Macaca fascicularis: one gene and its partners. The protein of the gene in region 3 purifies or fractionates together with the protein of the main gene of each other region. This does not show direct contact. Links are inferred from orthologs where the notes say so. Each region holds a gene or a part of one and is shown on either strand. Other genes may lie near its edges.

Evidence for each region.
Region 1: the proteins of RUVBL2 (region 3) and ZNHIT2 purify together in Homo sapiens (affinity purification with mass spectrometry; 5 studies listed by BioGRID and IntAct, counting the BioPlex papers as one, with this or other methods). This does not show direct contact. The link is inferred for Macaca fascicularis from reciprocal best matches to the Homo sapiens genes RUVBL2 and ZNHIT2.
Region 2: the proteins of RUVBL2 (region 3) and EPC2 purify together in Homo sapiens (co-immunoprecipitation; 4 studies listed by BioGRID and IntAct, counting the BioPlex papers as one, with this or other methods). This does not show direct contact. The link is inferred for Macaca fascicularis from reciprocal best matches to the Homo sapiens genes RUVBL2 and EPC2.

What each region holds. Positions count from the first base shown.
Region 1 is NC_088388.1:9,252,427-9,255,451, reverse strand, and holds ZNHIT2 (zinc finger HIT domain-containing protein 2), read right to left. Parts: upstream 1,853-3,025; 5' UTR 1,785-1,852; coding exon 570-1,784; 3' UTR 531-569; downstream 1-530. Other genes in the region: delta(14)-sterol reductase TM7SF2, read left to right, coding at 20-180. UniProt on the Homo sapiens protein: May act as a bridging factor mediating the interaction between the R2TP/Prefoldin-like (R2TP/PFDL) complex and U5 small nuclear ribonucleoprotein (U5 snRNP).
Region 2 is NC_088386.1:44,214,348-44,218,583, reverse strand, and holds the start of EPC2 (enhancer of polycomb homolog 2), read right to left. Parts: upstream 2,831-4,236; 5' UTR 2,563-2,830; coding exon 2,410-2,562; intron 1,864-2,409; exon of another isoform or gene 1,649-1,863; intron 1-1,648. UniProt on the Homo sapiens protein: May play a role in transcription or DNA repair.
Region 3 is NC_088393.1:56,995,311-56,998,873, reverse strand, and holds part of RUVBL2 (ruvB-like 2), read right to left. Parts: coding exon 3,551-3,563; intron 3,453-3,550; coding exon 3,334-3,452; intron 301-3,333; exon of another isoform or gene 1-300. UniProt on the Homo sapiens protein: Possesses single-stranded DNA-stimulated ATPase and ATP-dependent DNA helicase (5' to 3') activity; hexamerization is thought to be critical for ATP hydrolysis and adjacent subunits in the ring-like structure contribute to the ATPase activity.

The sequences.
Region 1 (3,025 bases), on a different chromosome or scaffold from region 3:
AGAGCCTCCTTCTCTACAGGGGTGTCACACCTGCTGCCCTACTTCTACCTCCTCTACTTCACCGCGCTGCTGGTGCACCGTGAGGCCCGGGATGAGCGGCAGTGCCTGCAGAAGTATGGCCTGGCATGGCAGGAGTACTGCCGGCGTGTGCCTTACCGCATCGTGCCCTACATCTACTGAAGCGGCTCCACCACCCCAGGTGGGGACATATGCCCACTCATCCACCAGCACACCCAAGACCAGGAGCCTGGACACACTTGGGACTCAAGGGCTTGTACCCCACCCAGCCCTGAGGATGAACAGCCTCAGAGAAGAGGTGGTTTAGAGCAAGGAAAAAAATGAAACCAGTGACCAAAATCGGAGATGCTCTTCCTCCTTTGGATAAACATTGGGAACCATTGGTGCACTTCTCTCCCCTAGGACTGGCTGGGTCAGCACTGATCAGGGAGAAGCTGAGCAGTGGCTTGTGGGCCCAGGACTCTGGGGGCCTGGTAGGACAATAACTATCCTTCAGAAACAGGCAACAGGGCTGACCACTCACAGCTTTATTAATGACCAGGGTCCCCAGTTCAGCCAGGGAGCTCCTCAATGAGAGTCCTTGGGGCAGGTGGCACGGGGCCTCCCCAAAGCCGCTCCAGCTCCCCAGTGAGGGCGGCCACCTCCTCGGCTGCCACAGCATGGGCTTGGTGAGCCCTGGCGCAATCTAGAGCCAGGGGTGTGAGGGCCGCCTCATTTTCATTGGTCCAGGCCAGGAGGAATTGGCACTTTTTCCGGGCCCGGTAAAGATGATCTCGCTCTTCTCTAAGCACAGCCTGTTTCCGGGCACGGCCCAGGGTCTTTGCCAGGTCTCCCAGTGCTGCCAGCGTGTAGCCTTTCTGGTTGGTCGGGCCCTCACCCAGCAGGATGCGAGCGACCTCGTGCATAGCCCCTCGTGTGCCCAGGGGCCCAGGCGGGTGTTCGCCTGCTTCCAGCACGTGGGCTGCGGCCTGCAGGGCTTCTTCCGCAGAGGCGAAGACTTGCTGGGCACCCAGGGCTCCGGAAACGCCGAGCAGTGTAGCACAGAAGTCAGAGAGCAGTGCGTCGTCACCGCCGTGATACAGGGCGAGAGTATGCGCGTAGGCGAACAGCACATTGGGCAGCTGGAAGCGCACGAGCGGCGAGACTGGGCCGCGGCTCAGGCTGACCAGCGTGGGGATGCGGGTGGGTATGGCGGGCGTGCAGGCCCCCGGGACATCTCCAAGAACCAGCTCGGCAGCCGCGAGCTCCGCGGCGAAGGCATCGTTCATAGATTCCGGCGGGGTCCTCGCAAGGGCGGGCTCCAGCCCCGCGGCATCACTGCCCGGGACATCATCCAGCTCCTCCAGAAGCCGCCACGGTCCGGCTCCGCGCTTCCACCACCACGGCCGCCATGGAGGAAGCAGCCGCCCGGCCTCACCACGGCTCAGCAGCCGCTCGAAGGCAGTTTTTTCGGCCGGCGCCAGCCGCTCCCACAGTCCCGAGAGGCCGCCGGGCGCCGGGCCGGGGCTAAGGCCTGTTTCCCCAGGCTCGTCCTCGGTATCGCGTTGCTGACGCAGCCGGCGTAGGGCGCTTGCCAGGCGGCTGGGCGAGGCGCTGCGGCCGCGGAGCTCTCCCAGCACCTGGTCACGGTAGAAGTTTTCTGCGCAGGTGCCATGCGTCCGGTAGCAGCGCAGCGAGCAATAGGGCGCATTACAGCGAGGGCAGGTGTAACGCGCGGGCTGGGCCTCCCCCGCCGGGCAGAAACCACAAGGCCCGACCGGCTCCATAGCAACCGGCACCGCGATCTACCTGCGAACGCACGCCGGCGATAGTTCCAAACTTCCGGGGCTTATTCAATTACTTCCGGCTCACCGCGGGGTCGACGACGGTCTGTCGTTTCGCAAAGCTCCCGAGGATTCTGAGCAATTTCCGCCCACGCCGGAAAGCCGAGCCCCACCCCTTTCCCTAGTAGGGTGAGAGCAGGCCCAGACGCCGGGCGTCAGGTACGAGCCCCGCCCTGTGCGATGACGCAAGGAGCGGAAAAATGGGTCTGGCGAGCGCTCCGCCGGTGCCACCTCTCCCCCTAGCGGTCACACCAAAACGTGGCCCGATCATCTAAAGAGAAAACCCTCTCTCTTTAGCTCTATAATGCGCTGTGGCAGAAATCCACTTTTACTAAACACCTACCCTGGGCCACTAATTGTGCCAAGCCTCAGAAAGGCGATGCATCCCTGCGCTGTACACAGACAAATAAAATGCACTAGAGGACACAGACGAATAAAAGGGCAGTTGGGATCGGGTGCGGTGGCTCTCACGCCGATAATCCCAGCACTTTGGGAGGCCAAGGCGGGCAGATGACCTGAGGTCAGAAGTTTGACCACGGCCTGACCAACATGGAGAAACCCCATCTCTACTAATACAAAATTAGCCGGGCGTGAGGGACGGGTGCCTGTAGTCCCAGCTACTCCGGAGGCTGAGGCAGGAGAATCATTTGAACCCAGGAGGTGGAGGTTGCAGTGAGCTGAGATCGCGCCACCGCCCTCCAGCCTGGGAGCCTGGGCCACAGAGAGGAACTCCACCTCAAAAAAACAAATAAAAAGCAGTATTTAAGAAATATTTGAGGCCGGGCGCGGTGGCTCAAGCCTGTAATCCCAGCACTTTGGGAGGCCGAGATGGGCGGATCATGAGGTCAGGAGATGGAGACCATCCTGGCTAATACGGTGAAACCCCGTCTCTACTAAAAAATACAAAAAACTAGCCGGGCGAAGTGGCGGGTGCCTGTAGTCCCAGCTACTTGGGAGGCTGAGGCAGGAGAATGGCGTGAACCCGAGAGGAGGAGCTTGCAGTGAGCTGAGATCCGGCCACTGCACTCCAGCCTGGGTGACAGAGCGAGACTCCGTCTCAAAAAAAAAAAAAAAAAAAAAAAAAAAAAGAAATATTTGAGCTCCTATTTTTCCTCCAAAACTGACTCTTCATTAAGTATCTTATTAAATACCACTATTCATCCATCTCATTAAGTGCAGGCCCC
Region 2 (4,236 bases), on a different chromosome or scaffold from region 3:
GGCGCCGCCAGGCGCGGTGGCTCACACCTATAATCCCAGAACTTTGGGAGGCCAAGGCGGGTGATCACCTGAGGTCAAGAGTTTGAGACCAGCCTGGCCAATATGGTGAAACCCCAACTCTACTAAAAATACAAAAATTAGCTGGGCGAGGCAGTGGGCTCCTATAATCTCAGCTACTCAGCGGGGCTGAGGCAGGAAAGTCGCTTGAACCCAGTTGGCAGAGGTTGCAGTGAGCCGAGATCACGCCAATCCAGCCTCGGCGACAACAGGGAAATTCCATCTCAAAAAACAAACAAACAAAAAAATTGCAACACGAGTTAAGCACTTTTATATTTTTAATGAAGCATGAAAAAGTTACTCTGTAAGTAATCTTACTAAATTAAGATAAAATACCAAAACATATGCGGCATACTAAGGACCATATATGTTGGTGATTGCAAAAAGTAATATATCTTCCAGGAGTTAACTGTTCACTCTAGAACAGATTTCCTTATTTTTGAGATGGAGTCTCGCTCTGTCGCCCAGGCCTGAAGTGCAGTGGCATGATCTCTGCTCACTGCAACTTCTGCCTCCCGAGTTCAGGCAATTCTTCTGCCTCAGCCTCCCGAGTAGCTGGAACAACAGGCGCGCACCACCGCGCCCGACTAATTTTTAGTAGAGACGGAGTTTCACCACACTGGCCAGGCTCGTCTCGAACTCCTGACCTCATGATCCGCCAGCCTCGGCCTCCCGAAGTGCTGGGATTACAGGCGTGAGCCACCGCGCCTGGCCTAGAATAGATTTCTTGACTCAAGTTCTAAAATAATAGGATCCAAGTAATTACACACAATACTGGTACTTTTAAGACCATCTTTCTTTTGGATCAAGACCCACAAAATAGCAAAAATATCCAAAGTTGTGCTTATTAGGGTTCAATGCAATTAACTATTGTACATAACATAATTTTACCTTAATTTTCCTTCCCATGGAAAACTGAGTCAAGTTTGAAACAAATAAAAGAGTTCTCACATACAAAAAAAAGTTCTCACAGCTCTAAACCTTAGAGATAAATGCTGTTTTGATGATATATATTTATATCTATGCACACACATATGTATATGTGCATGTATATATATGTATTACATATACGTTTGTATACACACACAGTTAAGTTCATCCTGATACTACGGCCATATTCATTTTCTACTGAAAATATAAGACTTTCAAGTAATCAAAGAGAAATGTGATTAAATCAGAGCAAAGTAGTAATAACAGGGTAACACAGTGAGGTCAGAACTCGACCAGCCAATCAAAGGCATAAAAGCATTTCCTGCAATATTAATAGTCAAAAGAGAAAACCAATCACGGAAACCTCGAGCTTCCTTTTGACAGCCACAGAAGCAAGAGAACCAATCCACACACACCCGAGGTTGACAATAAGGCGGGACTGCAGGTTCATTGAAGAAATTCTTGAGGGTGCAGTTACTATGAACTTCGCAAGCAAGTAACACCACTCGAGTCATAAACACTCTCTGTTAAGCCAGATATTCAACCGTCTGCAAAATTTAACCCATCGGAGAAAAAGCAGCAGTTTTCCCAAAAGGTGCTGTATTATCAAAATTACAACTGCCAATTTAGATGCACTAAGTCCTCAACTTCTAAGGATCACCTCGCAATGACAATTCTCGAGGACAACGCTACGCCGGCAGCTCGCTCCGGGGCATCCCCGGCTCCTCTCTAACACTGCGCACGGAGCACGGCCGTCTCGGCGAAGCTGTCAGAGCCCGTCCACCCCGCGCCCGGCTCGGGTCGGGTCGGCTGAACTGGCCGGCGGGCGGCTCTCGGACGCTACTACCCGGTCGGTAGTCGTGGTCCCCGCCCTCCCCCGCCGCAGTGCTGTACCGCCTCATCCCGCTGCACCGTCGCGGGCGGGGAAGCCAGGATGATTACACTGCTGGGAGGAAGATGTTTGTTTTGAAAGCGCCCTTCTACAGTCATTTCAAAGAGAACCCAATACAAAATTTAAAAGTGGAAAAAATAATCATCTTGCCTAGCCAAATAACACCCCGCCATTAATTAGCCCCGCGCCTGGGGGAGGGAGGTGGGAAGGTAAACAGAGACCGTACGCCAAGTGCGGCCAGCGCATCCCCTGCGCCATTCCCGGCCGCCGCTTACGGCAAGGCCCCCTTACGGCAGCGTAAGCAGCGCTGCGAGCTAATCACAACACTGGGACGCAACAACATGGCGGCCGCGGGCGGGCGCTACGCCAGCCGAGAGGGTTTACGCTACTCCGCCGGCGTAGAGTCCCGTGCGTTAGAGCAGCAGCGGCGCCCTCCAGCGAGCGTAAAGCGCTCTGTGAATGGCGAGGCCCGACTGACAAAGGGGAGGGGGGAGGAGGGAAGGGGGGGTAATAAACACTCGAGTCCCTACCGATTCCTCCTCCTTCTCCATCCCGGTGGGCATCTGGGGCACGGCCCGGTTGATGGAGACGCAGTCGTTGAGATCAGGCATGTCCTTGCCGCGGTAGATAGGCAGCGGCTTGGCGGCGTCCAGCGCCCGCGCTCGGAAGGAGAGTTTACTCATTGTCTCCCCGCCTTACAGGAACAGCCCGGGCGGCGGCGGCGGGGCGGGCGGGGAGGGGGGGAGGACTCCCGCCGCCTCCTCCACCTCCTTCCTCAGTGCAGCGCGGCCGGCCCGCTCCTCCTCCTCCTCACTGCCCCCGGCCACAGCATGGGCGCCCACCCCGCCCGAAAACAGCCCCCCGCCGCCCGCGGCCGCTTCCACACACTAGATCCGCCGCTCGCCCGCCCGATCCGCTCCCTGCGCCATGGCCAACATGGCGGACATTACCACAGCGGCGGCGAGCGATCCCGGCAGCCCGCGCGAGAGCGCGCCCCCGCCGCGGGAACGCGCCTCGCCCTCTCCCTCCCTCCCTCCTTCCTCTCCCTTCCCCTCCCTTGCCTGCCCACCCACTCTCTACGCGGCGCTGCCGGCCCGCGGGAGCGTGCTGGTCTCGGTCCGCTCCAGGCAGAGGGGGCGGCTGCGGCGCCCCTCCGCTCGCCGGCCGGTGCTTTCGCTGTGTGGCAGGTGCCAGGTGCGCAAGTTCGCCCGCGCCCGGGAGCGTGCGCCTCTGCCTCCGCCGCCCGGTCATCCCTCTCGCTGGGTGTCCCGCAGGAAGGCGCCGGGCAAAGACTGCTGCGCTGAGCAGCGCGTGTGTGCAGAAGTCCGGGAGCGGGAAGGGAAGATGTCGACCCGGACCCCACTAGCCATCACCCAAGCCTGTACTCGGACAGCGCTTATCCCCCAAGGCGCCCTGAGCGCAGGCTAATTCGCATCCTCCGAGGCGCTCATCCCGGAGAGGTGCGACAGGTCTCTCCCATCACTCTGCTCCGAGGGGCGCCGCGCTGCTGGTGCCAGCCCTCTCCGCCGCCCTCCCCTCCGTACCTGTCCGAAAGAGCTCTCCAAGGTGCAGCAGCGCGCTAGTCCTCGGCTTCGCGAGGAGGACGCTCAGGGCAGCAGTAAGGGTTCATGGTTTGAGGCTGCCAGATGCAACAAGTGAACTTAGGTTCCCTGTCACCGAAACTTCGGTACAGCTGTTTAGTGGATGGTAGGTATTTCTCTGAGTTCAAAAATAGTAGCTTTACTAAAAGTTCAGCTTCTAAAAATTTAACCAAGGCAGCACACATTTGCGAAGTAGCAGATGTGTGTCAAATGTGGGGTGCTGTGGAAGACTCGAAGAAGTCTGAGAAAAGGTTCCTGCCTCAGAGAGCTTTCACCGTAATGGAATGCCAGGACTGCTGGAAAGATGAGTAACAGTAAGAGATGTAAATAGTTAAAGAAAATGACAGCTGGAAAGATAAATGACAACCGAAAAAAAAGTGTAAATATTTTAAGAAAACAATACAAGAGATGACACAGGCAGTAAGTAGGACATGATTAATTACCAAACGAGATCTAGGCAATAATTGTGAGAGTTCAGAGAAAGGAGGCATGACTACAGCCTAAACAGGTTAGAGAAAGTTCTCAAGAGGAGGGAAAATCAAGGTGACTCAAATAAGTACTAGCTATTGTTGACATCCACCTGGTTTAGCCAGGAGGCTCTTGGTTAGTCTTTAAGCATTACACATTTCTCACAAAACCGTACAAAGAGAGTTTTTAACACATTTTACCATTTTCTAATAATCGATCAATACTCTGCCTAACTCAGAGAAAGGCAGATGATTTCCTAAAGACCAACAGTGAAAAAATTGATTCCCA
Region 3 (3,563 bases):
TGACATCACCCCCTGATGACGCAGCCTTCCACAACTGTCAGTCCCCCAAGGACACCTTTCCGCAGAGCTGGGCTGCTTTAAGCTAGCTCTCTGCCTCGAGGATTACTGGATCAAGGTCCCACTCCCGTGCTCGACATGAAGCTTCACAAAGGAGGGGACAGAACCTGTCTTGTTCCCTGTTGCAGCGGGGCCAGCCCAGGGCTGGTACCAGGGTATACAGTCAGTTCCCCTTATTCACCGCAGTGAGGTTCTAGAAAGTCACCGTGAACACTCCAATTAGCCGATCCTGAGCCACTGCTCCTAGTGGAATACAGGGTTAGGCTCTCTTGAGCCTTTACTCACAGTATTTTCGTCAATCAATATATATATAATCTGGGTCTATGTGTGTTTTCATTTGTGTGTTTCTGTTATGTTTTTTTTTTTTTTTTTTGAGACGGAGTCTCGCTCTGTCGCCCAGGCTGGAGTGCAGTGGCCGGATCTCAGCTCACTGCAAGCTCCGCCTCCCGGGTTCACGCCATTCTCCTGCCTCAGCCTCCCGAGTAGCTGGGACTACAGGCGCCCACCACCTCGCCCGGCTAGTTTTTGTATTTTTTTTAGTAGAGACGGGGTTTCACCGTATTAGCCAGGATGGTCTCGATCTCCCGACCTCGTGATCCGCCCATCTCGGCCTCCCAAAGTGCTGGGATTACAGGCTTGAGCCACCGCGCCCGGCCTCTGTTATGTTTTTTAAGACGGAGTCTCGCTCTGTTGCGAGGCTGGAGTGCAGTGGCATGACCTCGGCTCACTGCAAACTCCGCCTCCCGAGTTCAACCGATCCTCCTGCCTCAGCCTCCCAAGTAGCTGGGTCTACAGGCGCACGTCACTATGCCCAGCTAATTTTTTCTATTTTTAATAGACACGGGGTTTCATCATGTTGGCTGGGATGGTCTCGTCGTTCTCTTGACCTCGTGATCTGCCCACCTCAGCCTCCCAAAGTGTTGGGATTACAGGAGTGAGCTACTGCACTTGGCCTCATTTATGTGTGTTTCTATTTTCATGTGTTTATGTAATATCACTGTTTATTCTCTAACATGGAGCTCATGTCAACAGCATTCTAACTTGGGCTCAGCGAAGCGTCTGTAGCACGGTATTTCCTCCGTCCGGCATCACAGCCTCCTTGCACTCAGAATACCAGACAGCACTTCCGCACTGTGCACAGGGGACACTGCAAATGGCAATATCACCAACAAATGGCCCCAAAAAGTTTTTTTTTAAAAAAGGCACAAAAATGTGACAATACTTTGGGAGGCTGAGGCAGGCGGATTGCTTGAGCCCAGGAGTTGTAGGCCAGCCTGGGCAACATGGCAAAACCCCATCTCTACAAAAAAATACAAAAGTAAAAAATAAAAAATGAAAAATAAAAAAATAAAATTAGGCCGGACGCAGTGGCTCACCCCTGTAATTCCAACACTTTGGGAGGCCAAGGTGGGCAGATCACGAGGTCAGGAGCTCGAGACCAGCCTGGCCAATACGGTGAAACCCCGTCTCTACTAAAACTACCAAAATTAGCCAGGCATGGTGGGGGGTGTCTGCAATCCCAGCTACTCGGGAGACTGAGGCAGGAGAACTGCTTGAACCCGGGAGGCAGAGCTTGCAGTGAGCCAAGATCGTGCCACTGCACTCCAGCCTGGCAAGAGAGCTAGACTCCGCCTCAAAACAAAAACAAAAATTAGCTAGGCATAGTGGTGCACGCCCATGGTCCCAGCTGATGAGGAGGCTGAGGCCAGAGGATTGATTGAGCCCCAGGGGTGGTGTGTGTGTGTGTGTGTATGTGTGTGTGGCAGGCACTGAGGCTGCAGTGAGCCATGATCATGCCTCTGTACTCCAGCCTGGGCAACAGAGCAAGACCCTGTCTCAAAAAACGAAAGTGAAAACGTAGCACTAAATAGAATACAACAAGGACACTTATTTACAGCATGAGCTAAAGGAAGCAGCCAGTGTTGCCTCATTCACACTCAGCTAGGAAAGTGGGTGTCAGGTGACTCGAATTTGTGGTCAAAAGCAGGGCAGATATTTACTTGCGGATTACAAATAAATCTTAGCAAGCAAGGAGATTCTCAGATACAGAGTCTACAAACAACCAGGGCTGCTGGTAGCTGCTGCCTCCCACAGGAGGTGCCCCTGGGCAGCCCCCAGGCCCTGACCTGCGGTTTCTGTGAAAACACCATCAGCCCTGGGGGTCTCTTCCAGCGTCCAGCCACCGAGAGACCAAATTCGGGCTCTGCCACTTTCTAGACTTGTGACCCGGGCAAGTCACTGGGCCTCACTGTCCTGCCCTGTAAAATGGCACTGAGGTGATATCTACCTTCTGAGCTTCTTCTGCAGATCCAAGGAGTTAAAAGAGCCAACAGAGCCAGGCACAGCGGCCCACCATCCTCTGTAGGATGCCTGCTTCATCCCTTTTGTGGTGCCCACCCCAACCGCCCAGTTTCAGCTGGGCCCACAGCTGCAGTCCCCAGCCTTCTTTGCCACCAGGTACGGCCCTGAGCCTGAGCACCACCAGGCAATGGGATGTGGGTACAAGAGTGGGGTGCAGCCTGTGGATCACAGCCTATGGGAGCTGCCTGCCCTCCACATCCCCCTGCTTCCTGCGGGCCAAAATGTGGCGAGGTGGAGAAGACAGCCAGCAGGCATGGTGGCGGGTGCCCATAATCCCAGCTACATAGGGTGCTGGCAACACCTGGGAGACGAGGTTCCCAGGCTTCAGCACAGCACAGTACCCTCTGTGTCACAGGAATCTGTCCCCGGCATCCTCAGACCAAACACAACACTAAGAGTTCCCCACGCACACGGTGCTGGCAACACCTGGGAGACGAGGTCCCCAGGCTTCAGCAGAGCATGGTACCCTCTGTGTCATGGGAATCTGTCCCTGGCATCCTCAGGCCAAACACAACAGTAAGAGTTCTGTGAATGAAGTTGTTGGGTCGAAGTGACTGAACAGTCGTAGTTTATGTCGTGTCTAACAGATGTCACTGTGCTTCCCTCAAGATTAGAAAACATCCCACAGCACTCCTGTGAGTTTCCTGCAGCGCCCCGGGGCGCTTCGCACGCAGTTTGAAAACTGCAGCCTTGGGGGCCAAAGGAGTAGCAAGACAGAAAGGCAGCAAGAACAGTCTCTGGGCTTCCTCGGGGAGCAGAGCTGCCTCCCACCCGCCTTTTGTAAGGGAAGAGCGCACACGGCAGTCACGGGTCCCTCCCTGATCAGGTGTCAACACAGGCTCCCTGTGGACCCTCTGACCACATCCACTGCCCGGAGCATCCCGTTTTCCCCAGAGGCCCCTGCAGCTGGCTCACCGCGTGATGCCACGGTTGGTGGCCATGATCAGGACGGGCGCCATGTCACTCTCCAGGGCCCGGTTGAGGAAGGAAAAGCTCTCGATGTCCAGCATGTGGACCTCATCAATGAACAGCACCTGGGATTGGGGTGTGTGTGTGAGTCGCCACCCACGTCCCTGCTTCCCCAGCCCACTCCCACCCCGCCACCTGCCCCGGCCATGTCCCGGGTCCTCACTCCAGGGATGATC